Linked DNA regions of Pelodiscus sinensis. The protein of the gene in region 2 interacts with the protein of the main gene of each other region in a biochemical or structural test. Links are inferred from orthologs where the notes say so. Each region holds a gene or a part of one and is shown on either strand. Other genes may lie near its edges.

What was found.
Region 1: the proteins of INSR (region 2) and TRIM72 form a complex in vitro, tested with the Homo sapiens proteins (2 studies listed by BioGRID). The link is inferred for Pelodiscus sinensis from reciprocal best matches to the Homo sapiens genes INSR and TRIM72.
Region 3: the proteins of INSR (region 2) and GRB10 form a complex in vitro, tested with the Homo sapiens proteins (5 studies listed by BioGRID and IntAct). The link is inferred for Pelodiscus sinensis from reciprocal best matches to the Homo sapiens genes INSR and GRB10.

Annotation. Positions count from the first base shown.
Region 1 is NC_134714.1:131,222,009-131,232,024, forward strand, and holds the start of TRIM72 (tripartite motif-containing protein 72), read right to left. Parts: upstream 4,302-10,016; 5' UTR 4,164-4,301; intron 211-4,163; 5' UTR 197-210; coding exon 1-196. Other genes in the region: uncharacterized protein LOC102458195, read left to right, coding at 6,422-6,584. UniProt on the Homo sapiens protein: Muscle-specific E3 ubiquitin-protein ligase that plays a central role in cell membrane repair by nucleating the assembly of the repair machinery at injury sites.
Region 2 is NC_134729.1:20,788,023-20,797,870, reverse strand, and holds the start of INSR (insulin receptor), read left to right. Parts: upstream 1-5,824; 5' UTR 5,825-5,882; coding exon 5,883-5,958; intron 5,959-6,297; exon of another isoform or gene 6,298-6,501; intron 6,502-9,848. UniProt on the Homo sapiens protein: Receptor tyrosine kinase which mediates the pleiotropic actions of insulin.
Region 3 is NC_134712.1:156,340,093-156,350,597, reverse strand, and holds the start of GRB10 (growth factor receptor-bound protein 10), read right to left. Parts: upstream 4,649-10,505; 5' UTR 4,179-4,648; intron 1-4,178.

The DNA.
Region 1 (10,016 bases), on a different chromosome or scaffold from region 2:
TCTGCTGGTTGATGCGCAGCTGCTCCACCTTGGCCGGGGCCTGGCAGGTGGGGCAGGCGGTGGCCTGGGACAGGCACTCCAGGCAGAAGGTGTGGCCGCACTCCGCCGTCACCGGCGCCTTGAACAGCTTCAGGCAGCTGGGGCAGCTCAGGTCCTGGTGCATGCCCTGCATCAGGCGCTGCTTGGAGGTCGACATGCCGGGGCCGGGCGCTGGCGGGGGCGACAGAGCGACTCGTGGGCCCCGTTCACCCGCCAGCCCAGAGCCCGGCGCCAGGAACGGTCCTGGTCCCGGATCCAGCCCTTGGCTGGAATCAATCAGCCAGTTCCCCCGCCCCCCGCCCCCACCGGCCCCTGCAGCCTGAGGAATGTTAGCCCAGCATGGCGGGGAGGTGACACACGCCTATAAATAGCTGGTTGGAGCAGACACGGTAATGGGAGCCGAGCGCCCCCTCCAGATCTCTGCCCCTCCGCTGTTTTCCATCCCCTCCCCCACAGGCCTTGCTGGGAATGGCACCGTTCCTGGCGAATACGGCTCCCGTTCTCCTCCCTCCGCTGCCGTGGGCCGGGCGTGGCAGGACGTGGCCAGGGGGCTAGTGGGGCCCACGGTGAATTCCCCATCCCGGCCCTGCCTCGGTTGTGCAGCGTTTGGCTGCGGTGAGAGGCCGGGGGGGGGGCACACGTCGTATCGTCGGCTTTGTCGGCCACGTGGGAGCGTGCGGTGGCCACTGCTGGGGGGGGGGGGGACGCAAGGGGGGCACCAGTCATGTGACCTCCCCCCCCCCACATGACTCCTCCTGTGCCAATCCTAGTCCAGGGGCGGTGAGTACAGGTGAATACCCGCAGCATGGGCCCAGGGCCGGCCTGACCCATTTGCACGCCCCGGGCCTCAGGAGCATGCGTGGTCCCACCCCCGGGCACACAGAGCATGCATGGTGCCGCCCCTGCCTGGCCCAGCAGTCCCACGCGGTGCCCCCTACAATGGGGCACCCAGGGCAATAGCTCGGCTGGCCCGTACCTTGGGCCGGCTCTGCCTGGGCCAGACACCAGGGTGTTTGGATGAACCGTTTGCCGGCTGCTGGCCCCTGGCCCCTGCCCCAGCGTATTCAGAGGGCACACGGCCCTTCGCAGGGTTCCCAGATGGTTTCAACAAAAATACCAGACACACTTGACATTCCATCCCAGTCTACAGCCCATCTGAGTTAGGAAATCCTGGGCCTTTCTGTTGCCTCATTTCTAGTTTCTCAGTGTGTTTCCCGAACAGAAGCTCAGCTACGGGACTGTCCGGTTCAACACCAGACCCCCGGCAACCCTGACCCTTCGTGCTCCCCCCACATGCTGCCCTGGGAGTGGGACGGGGTGTCCAAACCCCACCCCGGGCAAGGAGGGGTTAAGGGATTATTTTGGGCTCAGCCCGCCCCGCCCTGCCGCTCCTGCAGGGAACGCTCCAGCTGCAATGGCCAGGTGGGGCTTAGCCCCCTTGTGGCAGCGCTAGGGGGGGGCAGGTCTGATTCTGCCGTCGGTGGAGGTGAAAGTGGGGGCGCCATGGCACGCAGCTCCGGCACGGGCTGGCTGAGCTGGGGTAAAAGCAAGGCGCTGTTGAAAGGGCGGGCGGGGACCCGGGTTGCAATAGGACAGCGCCTGTATGAAATGTGAACTTACTGTCACTGCTGGCCGCCGGTAGCTCCAGTGGCGCAGTGGGAAGCTAAAGGCTCTGACTCCGCAGGGAGACACTGGCTGTTCCCACCCTTGCTTGTAAGCACAGGTTAGACGAACGGCTGCCGGGGTGGAGGGGGTGTTGACGTTTTACATGCTCCTGCCTCAGAACAGGGGCTGGAAAGGATCAGCCCAGCAACATCACGGAGCCTTTAGCTGCATCTTGGGTGCCAGAGCCCTGGTCCTCAGCGTGGGGCCTGCCAGTCTGTCTGGGGCTGCCGGCCCTGCTGCTCAATCCCGCCCCTGCCTCTGCGGTGTGCAGGGGAGAGGGGATGGGGGTGCTCGGGGGAGTGGGCAGCAGGAGGTGGGGAAGAGGCAGGGCAGGGACATGGAAGGAGTGGACAATTGGGGGAAGGTGGGGGCTGAGTGGGGCTTAAAATGAGAAGCCATTTTGGGGGTCCTCAAAGAATTTAAATCCAATTGGAGGTGCCCCGGTTGCTAATATTTGAGAACCAGGGTTCTGTGTTGGTCACCACAGTCGTAATCCCCCAACTCTTATCGAGCACTTTTTGACAGTCTAGCTCAGTGAGCTTTATCAAAGAGAATGGCAGCCTTAGACCCATTTTACAGGTGGGAAAAGTGAGGCAAGGGACGTCATTTGTCCCCATCCTCCCGCAGGCCTGGGACCGAAATTGTCCACCTGTGCCCTGGGCCTGGCTGTGTCCCAGGCCAGCATGCTAGCCACTAGGCCACACTGCACAATGCTTGGCAGTGTTATAGTTGTGGTGCTACCCTGCCATTTTGCTGCAGGGCACTTTTGCTGTGGGGGCTGCGTACTGCCTGGGGCGAAAGGGCTGGACTGGGAGGCAGGAGACCCGCTGCTATTTCCAGCGGTGCTGCGTGAAGACGCTCGGCAAGTCACTTCCCTGTGCCTCAGTTTCCCTAGCCATAAAATTATCCTAATCGCCCTTAGTCGAGTGCCCTGAGATCGAATGAAGGAGAGAGCTGGGGATTCACATTTGTATGTGTTTTATTTTTTATATATTTTACTATATTAATTTGGGAATGGCCGACAGGGGAGGGGATACACGAGGATTCCCGGTTCTGTTCCCTCCCTCTGGGGCACCAGGCATTGGCTGCTGTCGGCAGACAGGACACTAAGCTCCATGGGCCTTTGCTGACCCGGTAGGTTCTGTGGGGCTGCGTTGCCTGGGACCTGGGGGTGCCCTCGGTGTCTGAGATGTCGCAGGGAATTATGTTGCCTGCCAGACATGCAGCGTGGACTTGATTCCCGGCCACTGTCTCAGCTGCCTCGCCTTGCACGTGTGGTGAATTCGGGGCGTGCCGAGCTGCGTCGCACGGGGCCCCGTGCCCTGCTGCGTGTGCGGCCGCACTGCGCTGCATTGGAGCTGCCAAGGTGGCCTGGCAGGGGTCCCTCTGCCTTGTGGTGCACTGCGTAGGGAGCTGGGGGGGGGCATTAGCAGAGGCTCAGGATGAGGCACGGGGTGGGTGTGTGTGGGGGGGTTATATTTGGGGCATCTCCAGCCTGTGCTATCCAGGGGGTCGGGCTAAGGGCCCTTCTGGCCAGGGGGCTCTGTGGAGCTTGTGCCGTTGCTCCGGAGGGGAGCGGCCTGCAAGACGGAGCCCCCCCCCCCCCCTCCCGACGGGGCTGAATGCCAGTGCCAGGCCACATCTGAGAATCAGGAAAAGCCGCTTCCCGAGGGGCGTGAGCAGCTGGGTCTCACCGTGGCCTCCCCCACCTGTCCACAGCGCTGTTGGGAATAAGGGGTAGAGGGGGGCTGGGAGGAGGCGGAAGCAGGAGGGAGGGATCCCTAATGGGTAGCGATGGGCGAGGCCATCCCCCCCCCCGACACCAAAGGGGGCAGGGACAGCTTCTCCATGGGGCGGGAATGTCGGCTGAAGGTTGGGAGGGGGAAGGGAGTGGACTGGGAGGCAGAAGAGCCACAAACAGAGAGAGACGCCAAAGAACCATTTTAGCCCCTGCCCAGAGCGACTTTTTAACCCAAACCAGCCCCCCCAGCTCACCCCCTTCTCCAGCCCACCCCCGCTTTCCCTGCCACAGGCTCTCCCCGCAGACAAGCTGTCCCTCAGCTCCAGCTCCGGGCCCAGGGGTTAAAACAACAGGCACGAGAGGAGAAGAGAGGCAGGAGCTCTGGGGGCAGGCGTGGGATAGCGCAGGGGCCGGCCACAGAGACGCAGCCAGGCAGACACAGAAGGAGGCTTGCGGAGCGTTTCTGGTCCCTGCCCAGAGAGAGCGAATTCAGTCCAGCTCGCTCCCGGTTACCCCAAAGGGAAGCATCCGAGCCCGTCTCCCCGCCAGGCCCTCTGACCTTTCCCGGTCCTGCACTCGTTAGAAAGATGACGCCTCCCTTTGAGTTTCCCCCCTGCCCTCTAAGCCTGGCACCCCGGTCACTACAGGCTGCATAGAGCCCTGGGAGCAAAGTGAGACCCCCATAGCTCCGGGGGAGAGAAAGCAAGCAGCGTCTTACTGAGCTCAGAGGAGACGGCGGGGGAGCGGTGTCCGGCTGGAGGGCGAGGAGGCGCAGCGATCGGACGGGCACCAGGGAGCAGCTGACTGTGCTAGGATGGGCTCAGCCGCAGCGCGACTGCCCCACAGCCCCTCCCCGCCTCTATATATAGATCAATAATGCGCGGCTGTTCTGGGAAGGACAGGACACCGGCCAATTTTTTGTCTGCAGAGCAGGAGGGGGAGGGCAGGGTGACAGCAAATGGCTCAGGCAGCTGTTGGCGTAGAGAGAGGGGGCTCGCACTCTGCTTGGGGAGCACCCTGCATTCCCCTCCAGGAGCCCGGGGTCCCACTCTCTCCCCTGCACACCGGGGTCTGGGAGTGCCACCCTTCCTCCTGGGAACCAGGGGCTGCGGGAGCCCCCTACCGCAGAGCACCCGCCCTGCTGTTCCGCACGCCGGGGGCTCTCCTGCCTCCGGCTCTGGCAGCCTGGAGTGATTGGGGGAGGAGGGTCAAGCTGGATTTCGCAGCCAGGGTGAGTCGGGGCAGCTGCTTTGGTGCACTTCAGTGGAGCGCTGGGGGCACCTGGACTCGTCCATCTTTGGCTGCAGGGTTGCTCAACTTTCAAACTTCAGAAATCTGGACACTTCCGAACTTCTAGAACCACCCCCGTCCCACCTCTTCCCATGGGCCCTGCCTCTTCCCCAGGCTTTCACCCCTTGCTCCACCTCTTCCCCCAGGCCCCACCTCCTGCTCCGCCTCTTCCCCCAGGCCCCACCTCCTGCTCCGCCTCTTCCCCCAGGCCCCACCCCCTGCTCCGCCTCTCCTCCCAGGCCCCACCCCCTGCTCCGCCTCTTCCCCCAGGCCCCACCTCCTGCTCCGCCTCTCCTCCCAGGCCCCACATCCTGCTCCGCCTCTTCCCCCAGGCCCCACCCCCTGCTCCGCCTCTCCTCCCAGGCCCCACCTCCTGCTCCGCCTCTTCCCCCAGGCCCCACCTCCTGCTCCGCCTCTCCTCCCAGGCCCCACCTCCTGCTCCGCCTCTTCCCCCAGACCCCACCCCCTGCTCCTCCTCGCTTTTCGGGCCCCACCCCCTGCTGCGCCTCTTTCCCCAGAGGTCAGTGCTAATGGAAGCAGGAGCTTTGGAGGGGTCTCCGTGACTAAGTGAGGCCTTGGGGCGGGGCCTTGGTGAGGGACTGGTGGGGCTGTGTGAGCCCTAGCACAGCCTGCTGAGGGGTGAAGGACCAGGACTGGAGTCCGGAGCTCCCTGGGTGCAGCCGTTCTAAGAGGCTCCTCTAAAACTCTTCCACCTGGTGTTGGTGACTGTCTTGCAGCCGGCCGGCCCTGGTCCCGCTCAGGACCAGTTCATACACCTTCCGCATCGTCTCTGGATTCTCCTCCCAGATTCCACATCGGACCATCACTCCCCATCGGGAGTGGCTGACAATCTGATCCTCCAACAGCACGAACCAGGGTTTGTTAATCTGTTTGCTAATATAAATATTCTCCTAATAAATGTCACCACCGTGCTTTCCAGTCTGGATAGTGAGAGATTGCTCACCCAGTCTCAAAATGCAGCCACCTCTAGGGTGAGGCCTGGCTGCAACATTGTACAGCATTAAGAATGGCCACACTGGGTCAGACCAAAGGTCCATCCAGTCCAGTGTCCTGTTTGGGGACAGTGGCCAATACCAGATGCCCCAGAGGGAGAGAACACAACAGGGAATCCCTGCCCTGTCTCCCACCTCCAGAGAAACAGGGGCTGGGGACACCATTCCTACCCATCCTGGCTAATAGCCATTGACGGACCTAACCCCCATGAATCTATCTAGCTTTTTTTTGAACCCTGTTAAAGTTCTAGGCTTCACCACATCCTCTCGCAAGGAGTTCCTACACCTGCAGATTTAACACCCCAATCAGGGTTTACCAAAGGCATGTAAGTGTCCAGCTCCTACTGATTTGGGGTCTGGGCCCTAGACTGTCTGTGAAGGAAGGCTTTTCAGGTTCCTCCCAGGCCCTCTCTTCTGCTGCCAGTGTATAAGGTGACTAGATTACCGCAGTTCCCACATGACAGCCGCTTTAAACCCTGGCCCTGGGACGCTCGCTGAGCGAACTCTCCTGGGGAGCCATGGGCTGAGCCTGCCTCACCAAGGGCTCGGAGTCCGGGGGGGAGGGAGGTTCGAGCTCTGCCTCCTCCTACTCGGCACAGCAGCGACTTCCTGCTCCCGGGCCAGGGTCTGACTCGGTCTCTGCTGCGCTGAGGCCTCTGCCTGGGGCGGCAGCATGGCGCTCAGACCCCAGGGTTCGGGGCTGCCCCAGGGCAAGCCCAAAAAGCCTCAACTCCAGTTGCAGGGGAGCTCTTACGTAGGCGGCCTCCCCGGGAAGGACTTTGGAGCAGAGAAGCCGTTCTCGCAGTTCCAGTCACCGACACTCTTCTCAGCATCTGGTAAGGAGGGATCCAGAGAGGAACTCGGAGCAGGGGGCCAATGCGCTGGCACGGGGGGGGGTTGAGAGCCCCTGAGCTAAACTTCACCCCTTGGACACAACGGAAGCCACAAGTCAGGGGGTGCAGCCACAACCCTCCCCCCCCCCCCCGAGTGTCCCTGGACACGCTCCCTCCCGCTTTCTGGTCTCAGTCAGACTTTTTCCTTGCCACCAAGCCAGCCTCCCTCCGATCTGGATGAATCAGAGTGCAAAGCAGAGGAGGAGAGAGAAGGCGCTGTGGAGCCCAGGGAGAGGAGAAGGGCTCTGCTGGGCAGGCTCCCTTAGACTTTATTTACACACAAACTTGCACCAATTTAATTAACCTGCTGTATTTAAACCATTTAACTGTCCCACACCGCATGCAGCGGTTCTAAGAGACCTTAAACCGGCAGCCTGCGTTACGCAGGGTGCCTGGTGTTGACTGGTGCAGATGATACTCCTGGGGCAGTTCTGCCAGGAGAAGTTAAGCATTCTGTGCGCACTACTTTCACATGTTGCAAAATTCTGCATATTTGATGTGTCAGAATAACACAACATAATCACACCAGTTCTGGTTATTTTGGTTGATTTCTTTCAAGACACCTGTCACCAAGCCAGCCTGTAAGGACACACAAGCAATTCTGTCCAATCTTCTGATAAAGAAACATAACGACTACCTTTGTTTTTGCAGCACAAGGTGGCTGCTTTATAATCTGCTTTCATTATCTCCAGTTTTACACACCCAGAAAGAAAACAAATTCAATCTAACCAGGCCAGCACCTGCAGAAACACAGTGAGAAGTAACTCTAGTGTTCCCAAAGGCATTGGTGGGGTTCACCTGCATTTCGGGGTCTTTGGTTACATCTAAAAGCAAACATCTTCTTGCTTGTAAGAGCCTTCCGTTGAAATCCAGGCAGGCTCTTCCTCTTACGAAATCACTGGCAGCCAGTCAGCTAGTTGATGTAACTGAGCGCTCAGTTTAGAGATTTAAAACAACAGGGCTGTGTCTACACTGGGCCACTTATTCCGGAAAATCAGCCGCTTTTCCGGAATAAGCTGCGAGCTGTCTACACTGGCCCTTGAATTTCCCGAAAAGCAACGATGCTCTACTGTACAAAATCAGCCGCTATTCCAGAAAAACTATTCTGCTACCGCTCGGGCATAAGTCCTTATTCCGGAACACTGTTCTGGAAAAGGGCCAGTGTAGACAGCCCAGTAGTCTTTTCTGGAAAAGCGCGTCTACATTGGCCACAGATGCTTTTCCGGAAAAAGGGCTTTTCCGGAAAAGCAGCCTGCCAATGTAGACGCTCCTTATCCGGAAAAACTGAAAACGGAATAGTATTCAATTTTAAGCATTTCCAGAAATTCATGCCAGTGTAGACCCAGCCCAGGTGAATGAAACCCTGTTACAGAAAAATACAAGCCCTGAGAATAGCAAAACACACATGACTCGTTCCCCAGGCAGGCATATTTTTTTTAAAAAGTTGGTGAGTCACACTTTTCAGATAATAGAAACTAACACAGTTTGGCTAAAATCAAGCAACACTCAAAATCTATATCTCTGTTTTTAAAAAGGTAGGTGTGTCTGTCTGTCCGTCCATTGTGAGTCCATTTGTTCAAGAACTAACTCCTCTTAAGCACTAAGAGCTAGGCTACCACAGTGGGTATGTCAAGCAGCTGGCATGTTCCCCTGCAAGCTGGAGAGGGGACTGTTTTCTGAGGCCTGCTCAGCCCCCCGTGTAAACAGCACCAGAGAACACAGAGGGGCAATCACCAAACAGTGTTGGTGTGGGGACAGAGGAGTCAGTTTGGGGCTGAAAGATGGGGGCGGAGGGTACAACAGGGAACTGGTTCCCCTCATGAGCTTGTTTTCCCTGCTCCTGAAAGTGTCCCCTTAAAGTTCTTTGTCTGGCTGCCTGACCCTGCCTGGTTTTGTGAGCAGAGCTCTGTGTTCCCCCGGTGTCCCTCCGGTGTCTGATTCTGTCCTAGGACTTGTCCCCCAGCACTTTAACTGCTGCCCTACCCCCACCCCAGAAGAAGGCAGAACTGTGGCAACTGAAGTAACCCAGGGTCCACACCAGGGCTACATCTAGACTGGCATGATTTTCTGGAAATGCTTTTAACGGAATGATGAAAGGTCTAGAGAACATGACCTATGAGGGAAGACTGAAAGAACTGGGCTTGTTTAGGTTAGAAAAGAGAAGACAGGGGGGACATGATAGCGATTTTCAAGTATTTAAAAGGATGCTACAAGGAGGAGGGAGACAAATTGGCCTCTGAGGCTAGGACAAGAAGCAATGGGCTTAAATTGCAGCCAGGAAGGTTTAGGTTGGACGTTAGGAGAAACTTCCTCCCTGTCAGGGTTGTCAAACACTGGAATAAATTGCCTGGGGGTGTGTGGAATCCCCACCTCTGGAGATACTTAAGGGCAGGTTGGACAGACACTCTTCAGAGATGGTCAGACTGTGCTTGGTGCTGCGGTGAGGGCAGGGCACGGGGCTTAATGACCTCTCAAGGTCCCGTCCCATTCTCGTGTTCTGTGATTCTATGTGTGACGGGGCGTCCCCTGCCCGTCCCTGGGGCGCCGCCGAGCAGGCATTCCTGGGGTTAAGGGGGGGGCCCTGCCGGGGCTGCGCGGCGTGCACGCGAGCCGCGCCGGGGCAGGGAAAGCCGGCCGCCCCCCCCCCCCGAAGCGGTAGCGCCGTGGCGGATGGCGCGGCGATAGCGGGGGCAGCATTTCCCCACCTGGAGTGACAGGAGAGCCGGCCAATGGGGAGACCGGACGGGCGATAGGGGAAACGCCCGCCCGGTGACGTAGGCGGAGGCGGGCGCCCGGCGGGGAATTTAAAATGGACCCCCTTCCACTCACGAGGGGGGGAGAGAGGAGTCGGGCGGCAGCCGCGAGCGGGCTTGTTGCCAAAGAGGCGGAGGTTGGGAGAAACCACCTCCCTTTGAGCCCGGCCACGACAGTCCTCTTGGGCTGTGGAGCCAGCCCAGAGCAAGGTGCGGGCATACGGACGCCCGACCGCCAGCCTGACGGACGAGCCAAAGGTGACCGCCCCGAGGAGGGGGAGGAAGGGCACCTGAGGAGGGAAAGGAAGCAGCCCAGGGCAGGGCTCATTGGAGCTGGCGGGCTGACGCGTTTCGGCATGGAGCCTCGTCAGCCGGACCGGAGCTAAATATCTCCGTGTCCTTAGGGCCCTGGGCTGGGGCCCGTGAGTGAGGGCGGGCCCGGGCCCCCCTTTCCCTCCCCCTCCCTAAGGGGGGAGAAACGTGTGAGCTAGGGACCGGCCGTGCAGCTACATAAAGCACGACCGACAACCCGAATTCACCGCCTTGAAGGCGGGAAGACTAGGCACTGAGTGGGAATCAAGTCCAAACGGGACGTGGTCAGAGGACCCCGAAACGGGGGCCG
Region 2 (9,848 bases):
CCCCCCCGCCCAAATGATATTTCAGCTGTTCTCATGCACGTGTCGGTCTTTATTTCCTAAAGGACTCTTAGCACTTCACTTGAACAACTGTGGAGTCTCAACTGAGAGCCAGTCACTAGCAAGAGTCTTCCCAGTGACTGCTTTGCAATATTGATTGTGCATGTGCATTTAGGATGGATTTAGAAGTTGTTTGCAGTGTAAAGCAATTGAAGGCAGTTTGGGCCATCTTCAATGCTGTGTTTTCATTGTCCCAGTGGAGTGGATTGCAAAATGCAAATAAGTAGCAGGGATGGTGAAGGATAAGTGAGACTTTAAACATTCTTTCAGTTTTAATTATCTTGGGTATTGTTTGTGACACAAAGAAGTTTGTTAAAAAATACGAGCTAAGGTTTTCAACAGCAACCTGTGATTTTTTTTTTTAATTCAACTGGAGGCGCCTTAAAGGATCTAGACTTTTTTTCCTCAGATGGCAGGTGCTCAACCCTCTCTAAAAATCAGGATCCTTTACAGGAGCCTCGAGTGAGGGTCCCAAAAACAGAGTGGTCCCCCCCCCAAATAATTAGTCCCTTCTGAAAAATGTGACTGTGATTTTTAAAGAACATTCAGTGTGCTAAGTATTAGTAACATAGACTCCCTCCTAGGCTGTCTCCTAGTTCAGAGTGAGTTTCCCCCTGTAAATGTCACTCTGTGTCTATCTATACTCATTTAAGGGATGGTTAAAGAATAAACCAGAGAGAAGCTGGGATAACCAAAACAGGTTGAAAGTGCAGCTGAAGGTGGAGGGACATCCTGGGTATGTCTATTCTGTAACGCAAGCCCAGGCTTAGTAGCACTCCACTTAGCAGACCCTGGACTTGTTGATTTAGAGCAGGGTTTCCCAACCTATGGGTCGGGACCCAAATCTGGGTCGCCATTACATTTCAAAAGGGTCACCAAGTGTCTCTCCAGGTGGCTCTGCCCTCCCTCCGTTTTTCAATTGCCTTGGGTCACCAAGTCTTTCTCAATTGTCAAAATGGGTCCCCATCTGGAAAAGGTTGGGAACTGCTGATTTAAACTCATTTGTAACCCCAGGCTAGGAATTTTTGAACCATGGGTCCAAACCTGGGGCTTCAGCATCTGCCTTGCCTGAGCCAAACTATGCACATCCCTGACTTCCTAGTGCCATCCCAAAATATGGCTGCCTTAACCCTTAGTTTGTGGTGCAGTGTGGGAAAACTTAACTGTCCAACACAATTGACTGGCTAGAGAAGTGTTTCTCAACCTTTTTTTTCTAAAGTATTCCTTAAAAAAAAAAAGTTAGAAGTATCCCCAGTACCTACAGTTTTCAGACACACACGATTTTTTTCTACCACTGCAACACATTTGTTTAACAACTTAATCGTTGCCGGGTGGGCAATGAAATTTTTGAGTGTAAAAAGTACAAAAATAATAGAGCACTGTAAAACTTAAAACAAATTCAGTTGTCTCAATTTCAGTAGTGTTGACGTACCCCCCCAGACTTTTCTTGAGTACTGAAGGTACTCGTACCAGTGGTCAAGAAACACTCAGCGAGAGGACTAAGACAGTTGGACCATGGGACTGTGGGATATTGTTGGCAGACTCCCAGAGCACAACTCCAGTGCGGCAGGAAAAGGGCTTGAACCCAGGCTGGCAGCTTGACTCAGGCTTGTACCCTCCACTCCCATGGGGTCATTAGACCCTGGGTTAGTGCCATTTGCACACAGATGGAAGGGGTGGGGGGGCTAGGCTTGAACCTGAGTTCAAATACTGGGCTACACTGCAGTGTAGACATATGACATTTACAATAGGTGGACTCACAAGCTTCCACAACTGCGGTTTACTCTGGCAGTGCCTCACTAATCCTCCTGTGATTTTATCCAGGTCAGGGATAACTACTTTTTTCAACTCCAAGGAAAATATATTTAATCCACTTTTAGATAAGCCCAGAGCACAATCAGGCATGTGCAGGGGAGAGCATTCCTACCAGGCCAGTTCTGCCACATGAGTAAGCTGGAAGAACAGCCGTACATCAGGCAGAAATGCAAACATGATGACGGATTTGTCACACACGCCATCAGAGAAAACTCAGCAGCTTGTGGCCATTTAAACAGCACTTTTCGGCTTTTTAACCACTCTGTGAAGGTGACGCCTGTTAGGTAAATACCTACCAGTTACTCCTGACTTGCATTGGAGTAAAGAACAGAATTCAGGCTCGACATCAATATGGAAAATTCTGTGGTTCGGAACTGGTCAGGTTCAACCTGTCGTCCAAACTCCCAGTCTTGTGCTCTAATCACCAAGCTTAGAGAACCTCAAACCTTTTTGCGGTGTGGATCACATCTAAATATTGTTCTAACCTAATTCCTCTCTGATTCGTAAGCATGTGGATCACTTTCTCATCCAACCACAATTGTGTAATACCCACGTGCCAACTGCAGCAACTCTTTACAAGGCGAAGTAACAGAGGGAAACAATTTAATAATATACATTTGGATTTCTTAATGCAAATTAACAGATGGGGGGGGAAAAGGAGGAAAGCCATTGCTATGTGACCCGCCAGCTCTATGTAGACCAGTGGCAAGTGTTCTGCAGTTCATCAGTGCCCTATGGATTATGGATTATAGTTTGGGAGCCTCTGTACCAGGTCCCGTATCAATAAATCTAAAACTTAAGTAAAGGGTCTAGTGTACAGTGAGATACTTGGAAAAGGAGAGGCAAAGATTTGGAAAAAGAATAGTTGTTTGCCTATAAAGCACGTTAGAATGATACATTTTCTGTATACAAAGAGTTTGCATAACTCACAATCTTGCATAAGTGGGACTGTGCAAAAGCAGACAAAATTATTGGAAGTAGTTCTCTTGGTTGCCAGGAAATGTATTGTGATGCATTAGCTCAAGGACAAACAACAAACATTTAAAGAATGGAGGGAAAGCATCAAAGTCTGTATCCCACGGAAGCAAGAGATTACAGGGAACACTGCTCCCAGGCTTGATTCTGGTCCTACGCTATGGTCTTCTACACTGATTACAAAGCTGGGGTCAGCATTATTTCAGCTTAACATGTGTGTTTCTGTACAAGAATGTTTGCTAAGGTAGACAAGGCATCTGTGTGCAATAGGGACAACATTGCTGACTTTGGTGACATGTGGTGAGGAATTTGGACTGGTCTACACACTGGTTTGACTGCTATAAACTATACTGGCTTAGAATCAATAGTTAACTTCCCTGCAAAGTGGCACTAGTTTATCTACTAGGTATTTTAGAGAACCTTTTGATCTGTTTGTTCAAGAGCTCCTCCTAAACTATAAGAATTAGGACCACCACATTTGGTAAGCAGATTCCTTTTGTCATAATTTAAAGCCAGGTCAGGGTTTGGCTGTGCCAGAATAAATGAGATGTTCCTGGAATTCAATTGTTTCTCATAAAATGGAAAGGGAGGGAGTCTAGTAGGAGGAACAGTTATACTGGAGAATGACCATGCGGGGGCAGCAAGGAGCCAGAGCAGGGGACCAGGACAGCTGTACCCCCATTGAGCCCCCAGGGATGGAGAAAGGGACAGTAATCTACTATATATTGCAGAGACTTTATCAGTCTGTCTGTCTCCCCCAGCCAGGGAACATGCATTCTGCCCCTGGATGTGCTCGCTGCAACTACATTGGCCATGGACAGGTACTGCTCACCTGGCCCTAAGCTGCTGTAGTGAGAGAGGGCTGGGGTTGTTCTCTCTCCCCAGAGCAGCCAACATATTGAACCCCTCATTGTCACCACCACCACTCAAGAGCAATGATACAGATGAAAAAAACAAAACGTACTTAAGGACCCGAGCAACGAGGGGCAAATCTAGTGCATGGTTTATAAAAGTGCTTATTCCATATTCAAAGTCCAATACATCCCCAATGTGCCAACATGCTCTGTAACTGTTCTTTGTTATTTAATAATCTGCCATCATTCAAATTCCCTTTTATTCTCCTACCTGCTGCTGTTCAGCTTGGTTGTTCAGTGTCTGCCTGTGTGTGACACGAGTCTGGGCTTGGGGAGGGTTTGTGCATTTGCAGGGCTGGGGCACTCTGCAGGTGGGCAAAGAGGTAAGGAGTATCCTGTGCAAGGGTCACCTGGTGGAGAGAAGGCAGTGGCATTGGTCCTGGGTGGTAGGGGTAGGCTGGCTAGTCCCCAGGGCTGTGTGCAGTGGCACTGGTGGTAAGGGTACATGGTAGGGTAAGCTAGTCCCCAGTGTGTGCAGGCAGGCAGGCATTCATGGGTGAAGGGCTGGCTGCAGGTCCAGCTGGTCCCCAAAGGAGGGTGACGGGGCAGGGTACAGGGCAGGTTGGTCCCCAGCAGTGGGTGCAGCAGCAGCAGGTCCCCAAGGGTGGGTGACAGGGGTGGGGCAGGCTTCCAGTCCCAGGGCTGGGGGCAGCAGTAGTGGGGCTGTGGCAGGACACACTGGGTCCCTGGGGCTGTGGGATGGGGGAGGGTGGCAGGCTGGTCCCCAGGGGGGCTAGGAGCAGGCTGGCCCCCTGGAGCTGGGGAAAAAGCGGGATGTGGGGCAGGCTGGCTCCCTGTGGGGTTAGGAGCGGGGTGGGCTGACCCCCTAGAGCTGGGGGAGAAGCGAGATGCGGGGCAGACTGATCCCTGGGGGGCAGGAGCGGGCAGGCTAGCCCCTTGTGGGGTTTGGGGCAGGGCAGGCTGGCCTCGGGGGCTGGGGGAGAAGCGGGGTGCAGGGCAGGCTGGTCCTGTAGGGGGCTAGGGGCAGGGCAGGCTGGCTCCCTGTAGCTGGGGGAGAAGCGAGATGCGGGGCAGGCTGATCCCCGGGGGAGGGGAGGGGCGGCTGCGGGGCAGGCTCGTCCCCTCGGGCTGGGGGGGAAGCAGGGTGCGGGGCAGCTGCCGGGCAGGCGGATCCCCTGGGGGGTGGGATAGGCGGGCCCCCTGGGGCTGAGGGGAAGCGGGGTGCGGGGCAGCTGCGGGGCAGGTGGGCCCCCTGGGGTTGGGGAGAAGCGGGCTGCAGGGCAGGTTGCTCCCCAGGGGGTAGGGGCGGGTGGTGGGCAGACGGGCCCCCTCGGGCTGGGGGAGGTGCGGGGTGCGGGGCAGGCTGATCCCGGGGGGGGGGGGGGTGGGACAGGCTGACCCCCTGGAGCTGGGGGAGAAGTGGGGCTCGGGGCAGGCTGATCCCCAGGGCAGGTAGGGGCGGGTGAGGGGCAGGCGGGCCTCCTGGGGTTGGAGAGAAGCGGGGGGCGGGGCCGGCGGGCCCCCTGGGGCAGGGGGAGAAGCGGGGGGCGGGGCCGGCGGGCCCCCTGGGGCAGGGGGAGAAGCAGGCTGTGGGGCAGGTTGCTCCCGGGGGGGGTAGGGGCGGGTGGGGGCCGGCGGGCCCCCTGGAGCAGGGGGGGAAGCGGGGGGCGGGGCCCCTGGAGCGGGGGGGAAGCGGGGGGCGGGGCCGGCGGGCCCCCAGGGGCAGGGGGGGAAGCGGGGGGCGGGGCCGGCGGGCCCCCAGGGGCAGGGGGGAGAAGCGGGGGGCGGGGCCGGCGGGCCCCCAGGGGCAGGGGGGGAAGCGGGGGGGCGGGGGGCGGGGCCGGTCGCTCCCCGGGAGGAAGAGCCCGCAGCGGGGCGCGCGCTCTCGGTTGGCCGGGGCCGTGAGGGGGGAGGCCCCGCCGCTCCAGTCCCGGGGGCCCGGCAGGTGGCTCGCCCCTCCCCGGGGCCCCTCCCCCGGCCGCGTCCCGTCCCCAGCCCGGCTCCGCGCCGCCTCTTGCCGCCGCCCGCTCCCAGCTGACGGGGGCAGCCCCTTGTTTACCGGCCAGGCAGGCAGCCGCGAGCCCGGCCCGCGCCGCCAGCGGCCCGACGAAGCGGCGGGAGAGGCGGGCGCGGGGCCCGGCGGCCTCCGAGCGGCGGAGCATGGCGCTGAGGGCGGCGCTGGCGCTGGCGGTGGCCGCGCTGCTGGGGGCCTGCTGCGGCCCGAGCCGCGGGGAGAGTAAGTAGCGCGGGCGCGGCCTAGTCCCCGGGGCAGGTGCCCCCGCCACGCAGCCGGCGCTGAGGGGAGCCGCGCTCGCCCGCCCCCCGCCGCGCGGGCTGAGGGAGCGTCTCCCCCGCGCGGAGGTGACTGTGCCCCCTGCAGCCCGAGCGGGGCGACAGGGCGGGAGGGTCGCCCTGACACCGCCCTTTGTACCTGAGCGGGGGGGGGGCAGTTCCAGGACTCCCCCCCCCCCCCCGAGCACTTTCTTGCTTTTCATCCCCCCCCCCAACCAAATGCCTTTCTTCAGGGTGGGTTTGGGTGGGAGCTATAATGAGGGGCGGGAGTTGCCTTAAATGAACAGAAAGTGGCGTCTATGGAAGGACTGACTGATTGATTGATTTGTGTATTAATTTATGAATTAAAAAAGGGGAGTCAAGGTGCGCGTGGGAAGCTCTCCGAAATGCAGCCAGCGTGCAACGTACCTGCGTGTGACTGAAAAGAGGTCTAGCAACAGCTACAAAGATAACGGGGGGTGTTTATTGGAACAGACACATGGACTAGGTCAGGAGGAAACTCCTTTATTCCTGCTTTGCTTGGCATAGGCTAGTTGGCATTAAATGTGCCCATCTGCATTTTTTTGTTAAATCTCTAAGGTGCTGCAGAACGATTGGTTGTTTTTTAAGGTGTGTGTGTGTTTTTTTTTCTAGTGCAGACTAGCACGGCTACCCCGAGACATTTGTTTTTGGTTTTTGTTACTTTGGGTTCGGGATAAATGAAAAATCTTTCGTTTTATGAAGTTGCTGGTAACTTTACCTTAGTGGCCATGAATATTTACTTCTCACAAGTATTTTGAAATGGGGCCTCTAAGTTGACTTGTGAATCAGGGTCTAAAACTGTTTCTCTTAAATGTGGCATTTGGCATGTGCAGGGGGTATAATTGTATCATGTGTGCCTATATATAAAATAGAGGGTTGAGAACTTAGCCCATGCTTTTCTGTTGGAATTTACCCTACAAGTAATGTCTTTGTAAGTCTATTTTTGTTTTAAACATGAAAAAGCATGCCACTCTAGCCTTTTCCTCGCTATATTACAGAATTCTAACTCTTTTTTTAAAAGTTAATTTCAACACCAGATATAGTTTCTGAAAGCTCTTAGCATGGTGTGGGCTTAGAATGGCAAGGATTTTAAATTAACCACAAAATGGTTCTTAAACAGGTTACAGGTATTAAAAGCAAGGGTGTGGAGAGAAGTTACATTAATGGAGGGATTGGGGAGATTCCTAAATGAAGCTCACAACTATCTTAACGAGTGTCAGACCATTGTTTATGGCTGATTTTAGGTGGATAAGCTTGCTTAAATAAATGACTTAAGCTAGCATTTACTGTCTGAATCTAGCTTGTTTTTGTTTTTATAGAAAATGAAAGAACCTGCTGGTAAATATTTGCTTAAAGAGAATTAAGTACTGAAATTGTTCATTTAATAACCTTCATTGTACTTGGCATGTTTCCCACAGAAGCAATAGCAGTAGGGTGGTTCAGAGTCCAGATATTGCATTGATTGGTACGTCACATACATACAATAATAAAGGTTTCAAAGCAAGAAACACTCCTGACTTTTGGAAAAACAATCTATTTGGCTGGTCACGTAATCAAAAATACCTTCCTCTCTTCTCTCGCACGCTCTTTTAAAAAATTATTCATGTATTCACTTTAAAATTTGAGAAGTACTACTGTGTTTTTCAACTAAGAGTTGAGAGATGGCAGGCAGCCCAAACTGTGGTGTGGGGAAATACATGAAGATTTCATTCTCCAGTGCACAACGCTTTAATTTTAGTACCGATATAACTTTAATTCAGTGACCTCAAAGTTCTTTACAAATTGTTACTGGTACAAACAAACTGCTGATCTTGTGGCTTTCTGTAGCACCATTTGTTCTTGGATTGTTTATGTGTTTATGAATGTAATGAATTAATCCTCACAACATCCTTATGAAATAGGGAAGTATTATTTCTGTTTTACGGATAGAGAAATGGGATCAATGTCCACCGAGTCAGACTATAGCAGAGCCCAGAATGGAACAGGGGGATATTACTTAATTTTATTACGTATATAGTGCCAGTACCGTCCTAGGTATGTTAAGGATAGGGATGTAAAATCCTGTTTAATCAGTTAACTGGACAGGTGAGGGGGTTGCTTCAGCTGGGCTGGAGCATGCCCACCTGAGTCTTGTTGCTTAGCCAAGCCTCCTGGCTGTGTCAGGTGTGGGGCTGCCCTGCTGGTTAATTGTAATGTGTAAGCATCACTTGGTTAACCATTCATAACCCTAGTTAAGGATATGTAGGAAAGTCCGTGGTCCAAAGAATTTTCAATGTTGTCTTAATGCCCATGTCACTCCTCTAAACACTAGCGCACACTCTTATATTTGCAGAGCATTAGAGTATGTATTGAAAATAACACATTATTTAATGTGAAGGTGCATTCAGCAGTTTGAAGATGAATGCATACACAATTGTTGCACAAGCAAAAAACCAGTGAGACATTATTGAGGATTTAATTGTTGCTCCATAAGCAGGCTGTTTTTGTTGAAATAAAGTGACTAATTCCACACACACAGGTTATGCCTGCTCTTTTGAATGAATCTCTATCTAAATTACAGAAGTGCCTGCTCTTACAGATGTAAAACTCTGTAAAGTTCCTTAAAAGATGCCCCCCCTCCTATTTTATAATAGGAAAAAGCCAATGTCACCATAGTTGAGATACAAGCCTTCTCTCTTGCAGTTGTAGGGTTCCACGAAATATTCTTTTGCTAGTTGATTTATCCAGTGTTGCTTGGGTTCTTAACTCAATTTTGTTTTTCTTAATTTAAATTATTATTCTGGGTAGGGACGTTAGTGTATAGATATTTAAACAGTGAACTGATAAGCCTGGGCTTATTAGTTAACCAAAACAACTACATGCAACACCTCCCCTTTGCTGCAGAGGCAGAGAGGTCTTAAAATGAGAAGCACTTACCACCAAAAATAACCTGTCAAATCTTTCAGAGGGCAGTCCTAGGGATAGTCAACTTCCTGACAAAAAGTTATGTCAAGGTGAAGGAATATCTTTTATTGGACCAACTTCTGTGGGGGGCGGCGGGAGAGAGAGAGGCTTTGAGTGATTCAGACCTCTTCTTCGAATCTGGGAAAGTGATGAAGAGTGTCACAGCTAAATACAAAATACAGGACTATGTATCACTTTTTGTTTCAGCTACATCAGACTAACACAGCTACATTTCTATCACTAAGCTAAATACAAGTTTGAATAGATATGTGCAACTTAAGCTAAGCTGTTTTAGGGGATCATTGATTTATGTGTGACTTATGCTACAGTATTTTGGGGGCTGGACTCTTCCCTTTTGAGGTGTCTTCCAGCCCTATGACTTTATGATTCAAAGTGAAGTGGCCCTGTGGTCATAGGTCAAAAAGGGGGGTTAGTGGCTGTACTGAGACTTAAAATCTTGTGCCTTTGTTAAGGCCATGTTTTTAAGGGTCTAGCAAAGTTATGAATTCAAGCTCCCTGGCACACTCTTTGAAAGTGCTTTGCGATTAAAAACTTGTCATTTGTGAGACTGGAAGAATATCTGCCTGATGGCAGAGACTTGAACCCCGACTGTTTCCTCCTGAAGTCAATGGGAGCCTTCTGCCTTATCTAAAACGCTTTAGTATCTACTTTTTCACCCTGCGGTTTATCTAGTTCTGTGGCCCAGCAGAGTCATCTTCGATTATTCTGGTCTGTCCTTTGCCTTTTGTAGGGGACCGGTACAGCAGTAAAGAAGTAGGTCCTTATTATGACTTTAATCAGGAGCGGCCCTAGACTAGCTGCCAGCAACTGGCGCCCTAGGTGAACCATGCAATCGGTGCCCCCACCTCC
Region 3 (10,505 bases), on a different chromosome or scaffold from region 2:
TGATTTCCTATTTTTTCCCTGCTGAGAACTAGTAGAAACTGGCATTGATTTAGGTTGGGAAGAATCAGATGCCAGTTTACCAGTAGTTTAAGTAAACATATGTTTACAATTACCTCGTTCATCATGACCTACTTGTGTGGAGTTGCCTTTTTGGACCTAGTTCATGTTTACTGACTCTGGTCTCCGAACAAAGCTGAAACATTAAAATTTACTGTAACAGAGAGCCATTGTATAGGCACCCTGCTTGACAGGTAGGGCCATATGATTCTGAGATAAATTGATACACAACGCTAAGACAAACATGGTTTAGGGTTTCTCTGGAAAAGCTGAACAGTGAGTAGAGCTATGGTGCCTTCTGGCCCATAGTTAACCTTAGTGTGACCCATACTGCTGACCCTGTTTTTCATTAGTTGTCACTAGTATTCTGTTGAAGCCTGGGTCCACTGGTCCCTCCCGCAAGGCTGTGGAGGGGCCTTTAGAAGTGGACGGGTTTCCGTCCGCCTATCACACATAATTCAAATAGTGCTTGGTAAGCAAGAATGCACAATATGAATGACCCTCAGGCACCTCCACAAGATGATGCAGCTGATCTGCCTGCTCAGACATGTCTATTCAACTATTGGGGACATCTCATCCTACACTTTAAGCTACGTAAAAAGATGCCTCCTGCCATGAGGGTAGGGGACTGGCCTCAATGACCTCTCAAGGTACCCTCCAGTTCTAGTGTTCTATGATTCTATGCTTGCAAATACTGCAAAAATAAGATCCAATGTCATACCTGCCCATTGGACATTTCATAGTGTCAGACAGCTCAAGTTTCAAAAAAATAGTTTCTCTGCTTTTCCTAGCTTGGGTATGGATGGGAGAGAAATCTTTAAACAGAGGGATAGAATGACAGTGCCAAGAAATTAATACAGCAACACTATCACTACCCATTAAGTTATACAACATTGCTAACTGATCTTTAAATGTTTGTTCAGTCTACTTTCAAAGTTATTTTAAAGTAAAGGAATTAGAGTTTTTACTATATTCAGTGATAACTTTACCTAAACAAGTCAAATGATTTAAGTACAACCCAGAGTCCTACAAGTGCAAGCTAGTACTACCCCCTAAAGCCCTCTGGTGTTTTATTCCTTTATATGACTGGCAAGGAGGCTTTTGCTGTGCAACTCTCCATTCACAGTGAGGCACTACCACCTCAATATACACATACGGAGACACCACAAATAATCTAAGGGGAAAACCTAAGTGAAGTTGGTTGTGGCTCCCAGCCTAGAGCTGCTCTGCAGTACACCAGCTGCTAACAGTCTCCAATGGGACATCTGCTAGCTGGGGACTGTCAGATTAACATCCTCCCCCTTCCCACCAGTGTTGCAAGGGCTGTTGGAAGATGGCACATGGCCTAGCTATACTGTCTTCATGCCAGCTGGCAACATCCCATCTTGGAAGGAACCCACAGCAATGGAGATCCAGCTACTTTCAGCCCTTACATGCCAGTGGACTGCAATTCAGGATCCAGCCCACAGTTTGTAGGGTAACTTGTAGTGATTCTTGTTAGATTCAGAGTCATGGAATATAAACAAGACAGCGAGTTGCAAATGTTCACTTTATGACTACAGTTGTTCTTTTCCATGGGTAGACATGAAATGCAGATATCCATTTTACATCTAAGCAATGCTTTCAAAGTGGTGTTTATTATTTCTTTTGAAAGCAAGTTACACCTGGGTTAGAGATTGGAAGCCAACACACACCACAGTAGGGAAGAGGATACTTTGACTGACAAAAACCAAGGAAACTCACTAGAATATCCAGCCAGAGCAAACAAGATCTACTTTAAGAACAAAGAGTGCAAATGAACTACAATATTAGCAGGTGGGAAGGGGGGGGGGGGGAGAGGAAGAAACAATAATTTCAGGCATGTGGAGGGGTCCCTTCATTATCATTCATAACAGATGTTACCAAACATCACTTTTTAGTCTGTGTTTGCTCGGTGTTGTGCAGCTTATTTAAAAAGGAGATTGATATCAAGACTGACTTGGCTCAAAGATTAAGTTTATTCATTAGACTACAACGGTACATCTTGAGACAAAACACAAGGGAAAGAGAAGAATATGCTTCTTGAATAGCCACATTGCTTCCATTCAGACCTTGCTAGGGAAAATATGTGTATGTTCTGAGCATTCTGCATGTCCCTTCACTCCTCGTCTGCCTATCTAAATGAACTGAAGCAGCCATCAAGGTTGTCATTTACAGCATTTCATTTCAGGCATAATTCCTTCTTCCACTCAGGTTGTCCAATCGCCACACATTTTTTTTAAACTGTCCTCATAACTCACTCCTTTTTATCCTAGGATTAGCCTTGTTGCCCTCCTCTGTTTCTCTGAATGCTGTAAGTACAACTAGCCCATGGATTTAAGAATGAGTTAAACTGAAATCTTACAACTGTTTATTGATCACACCACCTACAAAAGCTTGGTTCAGAAGATCACACCTCCCAGATGCAATACAATTTCATTTGACTATTAAGTTAAATTTTAGAAATCTAACATCCCACCCCCTTCATAATGCCCATTGTTATTTCTCACTTTATAGGAGTAAGATCATGAACAAGCACAGTACTGCTTTGTGAACCTTGATCGGTATTGCTTTGACATACCAGAAACATATGTTCCCAGTTCAACAAATCAAAACATTTTACACAGAACACCACTGCAGATACAGTGGTGCTCTCAAGTGCTGAATCAGCACTCTCCATACTACTCTAAAATTAAATGTTATGTGGATTTTAAGGAAGGGGGGAGAGTAGGGTGGGCCTGGCAGTTTAAGAGATTTTGCACTAGTGCATCTTTGGGGTTTGGACTAGATGACTTCCTGAGGTCTCTTCCAACCCTAATCTTCAATGATTCTATGGTCTGCCAAACCAATTAATTGCAGACTTTCTTTTATAAGATGATAAAGTTTAGGTCCCAGTTTTTGCAACAAGGCAAACAAGGTATAGAAGGGGAGCCCATGTGGAACAGATTTTTCCTGCTCTACCTCCAATCATGAGTTGAAGGTGGGGGAGGGCAAGAAAGTAAAAACCTCTCCCTGCCAAGCCTTATTTCACACGTTCTGGGTTACAAGAAACTACCCAATATTATCCAAAAGCCACCAAAATACTGTCCCACAAAAATGTTCAAAGACTCCCCTTATTCCCAAATCTGTTTTTGAGGATAGCTGGGGAAGGGGGGGGTGAAGAGGGAAGAAGTAAGAGAGGGCAGGCAGCAGCATCCGGAGTGGCACTTCTGTGATCTGTCCTTTGCCTCAAGTTATTCTCCTTGCCAAAAGAGAAAAATGGGGGTAGCATTTCAGACCTAAACTTTTAATACCTCTAGGAAAAGCAACACAAAAGAAACAGTTTAGCTTTCCTGAGGCCCTGTAAAAGCTGTTTCAATTCCCGATAAATACAAGTACAGGCCAGTAAGTACAGCACGCCTAAGAACCGGTGGAAGTGGGAAATGGACCTTATTCTGTGGACTTAAGATCCCCTCTGATCGTTGCAGTCCAGCCCCCTCCTCCTTTCTTCGGGCTTGAAAGGATCTCAGATCTGACAACGAAATGGTTCAAATATGCACACAGGCTCAGTGACTCCCCCAAGGGGCTAATAAAGGTCCAAGGGAGGAGAGACAAGAGAGCACGGCAAACTACTAACAACGGATTCGCCGCACTCAACTCGCCTGAAGTCTTGTCAGTGGAGGCGGGGGGGGGGGGGGGGGGAGGTGGCTCCAGCTTTCCACTCCGCTTTAATGAGGAAGTTTTGAAAGTGACCAACTAAATCCGAAGTCAGGGAAAGAGAATTGCGTACTCCTCTCCCCCGCCCCCCTCCCAACCTCGGCTACTAAGGAACCCTCAGCGCACAAGCTCCCAACCAGCTTATAGGCGATATGTACATTCACGCGCGCAGTCCCCTTGTAATTTAGCCTCATTGCCTCAGGCGTCCTCCCTCACCCTAGCCTGTTCTGCGAGCGCCTAAGCCAGCGCATTCTGCATTCGCAGTCCTGGACCTTTCCCAGCAGTTCCCTGCTCGTGCAGCCTCCTCCCGCCAGATCCCGCTGCTTTGCCCCTTGCAAGGGACGCCTGCAGGACGGGGCATGCCCACTTCACAGCGCACCCTTCCCCTGCCCTGCTGAGTCTCTTACCTGCTGCTGCCCGGCGCCTCTTTCGCCCTCGTGGCCTCCCTCTGGCTGCTCCGGACACCACCAGTGCCCCCTCCCCCTCTCGAGTGCTTCGCTGTGCGCGTCTGGCTCCTTCGCCCTCCCTCTCGCACGCTCCGATCAAGTTTTGTGGCTGCTGTTCCGGTGGGGTCGGGAGTGCAGCAGGCAGCGCGGGATGCTAGCTACGGGGGGGGGGGGGGGTCTTCCCAGCGGGGAGGAGGAAAGTTAAACTCCCATTGCACACGCCAAAATATATACGGCAGCCCCTCCGTACGGGAGGGGAGCTACAAAGAAAACTTCTGCCCTTGCTGAACCGCCGCTGCGGACCCGGCTCCCTCCTCCGAGCTGCTGGTATTAACCCGGGGCTACGTGCCCCCGCCGCCCAGATCTTGCTCCGTACTCAGCTGACTCTCCAGCTTAGGATGCATCATCTCCACCGCCCCCCTCCCCCTTTAATAGGCTTTAAACCCACCTCCCACCCCGGCGCCGCCTCCACGCAGCCGCAGCCAGAGCCATCCCCGCCCCAGCCCAGCGGCAGCCTCCCCGCCCAGCCGGCAGCCAGCCGAGAAAGGGCAGCGGCGCTGCTCCAGTGCGCTCCGCTGGAGCAGCGCTTGCAGCCCGCTGCTGTAGGGGGCTGTTCTGCGGCCGCCGCCGCCTTCCTCCCGCCCCGCGCCAACCCTTCGAGCCCGGCTGCGGGCGGGCGGACGGAGCGAAGCCACTGGCCTGCGCCCAGCCGCGCCCTGGGTGCTACGGCACCGACACGTGTCCGCACACGCTGCACCCTCGCTAACGCCGGCCGCAGCGGGCCACGCGCCTCACCCAGGCTCGCGGGCATGCCAGCAGCACACCGGGCGCGCCGACTCACGCGCCCCCACCCCAGCCCCTCAACACGCAAATTGTGCTCACTTGCTTCTTGCAGACCCACCCCGGCAGTTACAGCCACTTTGCACACGCGTGTACTGGGCTCGCCCATGTTCCTGTGCACACAAGGTGTCTTCGACTTATTTGGGCGTCTCTCGTCGTCCTCCCCCCTTGTATACTCACGATTCACAAGCGTGCTGTCCCCCAAATACGCCTGAACGTTGTGACAACAGAAAATAGTCACCCTGACTGGGATAAGGCCTGTCCCAAGCTGTTTCACACTTAGTCCGGATACAGTGAATGCAACAGGATAGCAAGATCAGTGCTCTGCCAGAAGCTGTGTCACTAGTCATGGAAAAGGAGGTTGAAGTGCTGCTGTGCAAATAAAGAAGCCAAGAAATGCACCAGTAGCAACAGGAGTGGCTGCACCAATCAATCCAGGCCAGCTTCTTAGCATCTCTGCAGAATTATCCTAATGCATGGCAATAAAAATATTTAGTTGGGTTATGGTTTTGATCTGACTTTATTTTTGCACTCCCATTGTACCCACCAAGTGGATGTACAATTTGTGTTGCCAATGTTTGAAAATCTGTTAAGGTGATTTGGGGACCTGCTGCAGAAGCCCTCACCTCTACATCTGCCATCACTTGCCCAGCAATTAATTCTGCCCCCTGATGCCCATCAATTTTGTCCCCACATGAGTTTTTCCCCTACTTCCTCCTACCTCTCACCTCAGCTCCCCTGTTTCTTGCTGCTCTTCACCCACTTCTCCTGAGCCAGGGGGCTGCAGCAGGATTGGAGGTAACTCCCAAGGTTCCTGCCCTTTCCCAAGCCAGGTGTTGGAGGTAGAGGTGGAGAGGAGCCAATCCAGGGGAGGGAAGGGAGAAGTGCAGTTACCCTAGTTGACAGAGCTCTTTCTGTTCTCTCCTCTCCTGTAAGAAATGGGGCCATCTCCTGATTGGAGTGGGAAGAACACTTCCAGCTTCTTACAGCTGCATTGAGTGGTTGCTTTTCCTCAGGAGGTAGGGCAAGCAACCAATCAGAGGGAATTCCTCCCAAGCAGGACTGAAATTAGCCCTGTCATTGCTAAGATGCAACCCAAACTAAACTCCAATGCAGTGGTTCCCAACCTTTTCAAGCGTAGGGCCCCTTTTTCAATCTGTTAAAATTTTATGGACCCCATCCCCCAAAGGAAGTGGTGGCTATCACGTCCCTTAGCCTGAACTGCTTTCTCAGTTCCCGCCCCTCCATCCCTGCCCTTCCATGGAGGATATGGCGAGGGGCCTGTCGTGGCTAAAGGCAGGTCTTGCCTCAGCACTCCACCCTTGGCTGGGCATGGAGTCCTGGGGGAGAAAAAAAAAAGAAAAGGAAAAGAAAAGGAAGGATTGGGCCCACTGCGGGACTGGTAGCAGGAGAGGGCTTGAGCATGGATAGCAGTGCAGCTAGCGGTGGGAGGATGGATGTTGCCTCCTGGGGTATCAAGATCCCATCCTGAGGGCCAGAGGTGGCATGCGGGTGAGGCCGGTTGCAAACAGCGAGCCCCACGTGAGAATTGTCTGGTGGATAGTCCCAGTCCCATGGTGAGCCTAATCCTTACTTTTATTTCCTTTCCTTTCCTAAACTTTCCATGGACCCTATAAAGTACTGTTATGGACCCCCCAGGGGTCCATGGATCACAGGCTGGGGACCACTGCTCTAGTAGAAATGTAGAGTCTATTTAAAGACTTTGCGGTCTGTAACCATTAGAGATCATAATGAGGCTTACCTGGAAGCTGACTGTGCATCTAATACTGGCTAGAGTCAGAGACAGGATACTGGACCCAAAAGACTATTGGTCTGATGCAGTATGGCAATTCGTATGTTCCTGAGGGCTCAGGGCTTGCCCATACCAAGTCAATATGTTGGAGACATCCCACTAGCACTCAAGGTTATGGTAGGATCTTGATATTTTACCAGTTGGTCTTGGCCACCTGGAACAAGCCACTCAAAGCACAAGCAGAACTTCAGGTCATTGGGCCTCAGCACTATAAGGGGCAGAAGCCCTACTTCCAGTGGATTGGCTCCATTATCAGCTGCCTGATCAGCAGAGAGCTTTTTCTGGGAGGAGCAGTGGGGAGGGCGGAATGAGGACAGCAAATAGAATGTGAAATGTTTCTAAGGTGGCATGCCTGGGGGTTGGAGTGTGGTTTGGATGGATGTTTACAGGGGACAGGAGATCTTTAAATGCCCTGGATAATAGGTGAGTAGGGAGGGTTGGACAGTGACAGAGGAGATCTGGAAAGAGAGTCTAGAGTGTCTTAGAAATACACATATAAACATACTTGTGCATGCTGTTTGTAGACTATACTTCCAAACAAGATGTATCAGCTAGTAAGTAACTACATGACCTTTTTTCCTCCCTATTCTTGCCTGCCCATCCTGTTTTCAATTTTATTCTCACTTGTTTTATCAATACCATCATTTATATCACAGACAATGTGCCTGTCTCTCTGTTATGTTCTTGTTCTTGGAACAATACATGGCAACAGGGGAATATTTATAAACTGGGTGGCACCTCTATTCTCTTGGATTCTCAGTCCTTGGGCTCTCACACACTTGTAATACTTTTTTAGCTTTTCAGCAACAGGGGTCCTTGTGCATTTCATTTCACCTGTCACCAGGCCTGCATGCAGCTCCACACAATCCAAATAATACTTTTAAGTGCCTCACATGTTGACAAGTAATTTGGAGAAAAGGCTCTTCCAAGGAATCCAGGGGTAACCTCCAAAGGAACCTTTTTTTAAAAAGTGTCATTTGGTGCAATCTAGTACATTCTAAAGATGGGAGGGGCAGAGCACATTCCATGAACCATGCCTTAGAAACACCCACTTGCAGAAAAGAATCAGCTTTATCTACAGAGGACGATGAATGCCACTGGAAGCAGGGAAATTCCCAGTGCTCATTATCATTAGAAACCACTATTGGCATGCATTGATTATAACATAGTCATTCCAGTTTCTGTTAAACACCTTTTTAAAAGTAATTTCCTATTTCTACATTGCTTTTATTCTTCCATCTTTTTCCATTTTCCATACCTTTCATCCCCTTTACGGTATATGCTGGTGCCTTTTCACAGCTGTCCCTTCATCTCACCTTCCTCTTTCTGTACGTGTCATGTCCTTCGCCTGTGTTCTTTCAGCTCTCAATCCTTCAGTCATTCCCTCACATCATCTCTCCAGTCTATCACACATATCAAATAGCCTGTCACAGATACACATGATCCAGCCATATGCTTACCATTCACCCATCATAGACACTCAGCATCTCCAACTCTACCTGAGGACCTTAGGGGTAGGAAGCCACTCCTACCACCATTGCTAGGGCGTGTGGGGCAGACCCACCTGGTGGATAGGATGATGGTACCAGAGAGCTCTCTCCCCACTCCCAGCTCCTCACAGGGCTTCCTTTGTAAGGGTTACTGGAGCCTCTCCTCCATGGACCCTCTGCTTCATAGGGAGTATGACTCAAATAAATGCAACAGATGAGGCATCAAGGGAGGCCCTCACAGCAGCAGCAAGGAGCGACTGCAGGCCTCCTTGTTCTGGCCCTTTGTTTCGGGGTGGAGACTGAAAGCTCTCTTCTTGCATCATGTTGTCTAGTGAGCGGTGTGGAGCGGAGCTCCCCCCATCACAAGAAAGGCACTGCTGTGGAGGAGAGGGAGGCTCTGAAAAACTGATGAGGTATGTCTAAACTACATGGCTCCGTTGACGGAGCCATGTAGATAAATTCACTAGACATAGGAAAATGAAGCGGTGATTTACATCAAAATGGCCGCTTTGCTGTGCTGATCAGCTGTTTGGCGGCACAGTGGGGCAGTCTGGACGCGCCGCAGTCAACAAAGGAAGCCTTTGTCAACTGCTCCCTTGTGCCTCTGAAATGAGCTTTACTGGAGAGGTCGACAAAAGTTTCCCTTGTCGACCACAGCGCATCCAGACTGTCCCGCTATACTGCCAAATAGCTGATCGGCATAGCGCGGCGGCTATTTTGATGTAAATGAAGCTTCATTTTCCTATGGTCTAGTAAACTCATCTACATGGCTCCATCGAATGAGCCATGTAGTCTAGACATACCCCTGAAGAGGAAGGTGTCTCATGGGTCAGCTAAATGAGATCAGCAGTAATATTCTCCCTGGCCTCCAACAAAGTGGAAGTGTAAGACACTCCCGTCCCCCATCCTCAGCTACCATAAGAGAGAAGATACTGGTGACTGAACTAACCACTGTGGTCAGGTTGACAGACCAGGCCTTCCGATACCTTTACCCCATGTCCATATGGCAGGGAGGGGGAAGTGGGAGGGTGAAAGGAAAGTTTCTCCCCTTTTCTTCTTCACTGGCTGTGGGTAGAGAGGCAACGGATGCAGTTCAAGGCAGCTGATGCAGTACCTCCTTTGCCTGGGGCATGCTGTTCATGAAGCAAGTTTCCTCCTCATGCCTAGAAAGTGTGGAATGATGTTATTGTGACATCACATGATCCTGTAGCTAGGCCTAACCTTATTGGGCCTATTGGTTAATCATATTCAACATAGGCTTCTTTAGTGAGGGGATGACTTATATTTGCAATTCTATAGCATTAGTCACTATAAGAGATCAGTATGTATTACAAAGGTGATGCTTCACTCTTTCTAAAGATGAGGAAACTGAAACAAAACGAGGTTAAGTGATTTGCCCAATGTCACAAAGCAAGTCAGAATTATACTTCAGGAATTCCAGGTTTCCAAAATTATTCCACCTGTCCAGTCAAAGTATCACAAAATATTTCAGGATTGACTATTAAATATAAACAACAGTGTCAAAATACATAAAAGTTACATACAATGAAAAAGTAACAAAGGTTATGTCAGGGTCTTTCCATTTCTGAGGCTTAACTGGCTTTCTTCCAATAAGCATACTCTCCCTAAATACTGCTGATCCATCAGTTTATCATAAATTAACTTTAATATTTTACAAGTGTGAGAACATGTCTATTTGACATTACATATGATTTTAAAGGATTAAAATGTATACACTGTGTGTCATTATGTTACATTTTACAGACAATAAAATTACTTGTACTGGAGCCAAACTTGTTGATAGATTCCTCTATAAGTGCTTATGACAGAGTGTCCAGTTGAATGATTAGTAAGTGGGTGTCTGAGCATAAATTTACTTATATAAATAGAAAGCATTTTACTGGGAGATTGTTGAAGAGTTCATTCATATAATATTTATGTGTCTCATCATGGCAGTAAAACAAAAAACCAAAAACACCAGCATGTGAGGAATATTTCCTGTACATTCTGGCAAATATAAATAGCAAGCAAGACATGTTTAGTTTCCAGAACTACAGCTGTATTGTTTGAAACTAAACTATACTGTCATAAAACAATTAAAATGGTTAACTATAGCAGTAGAACTAGATCCTTATAACTGCAGGG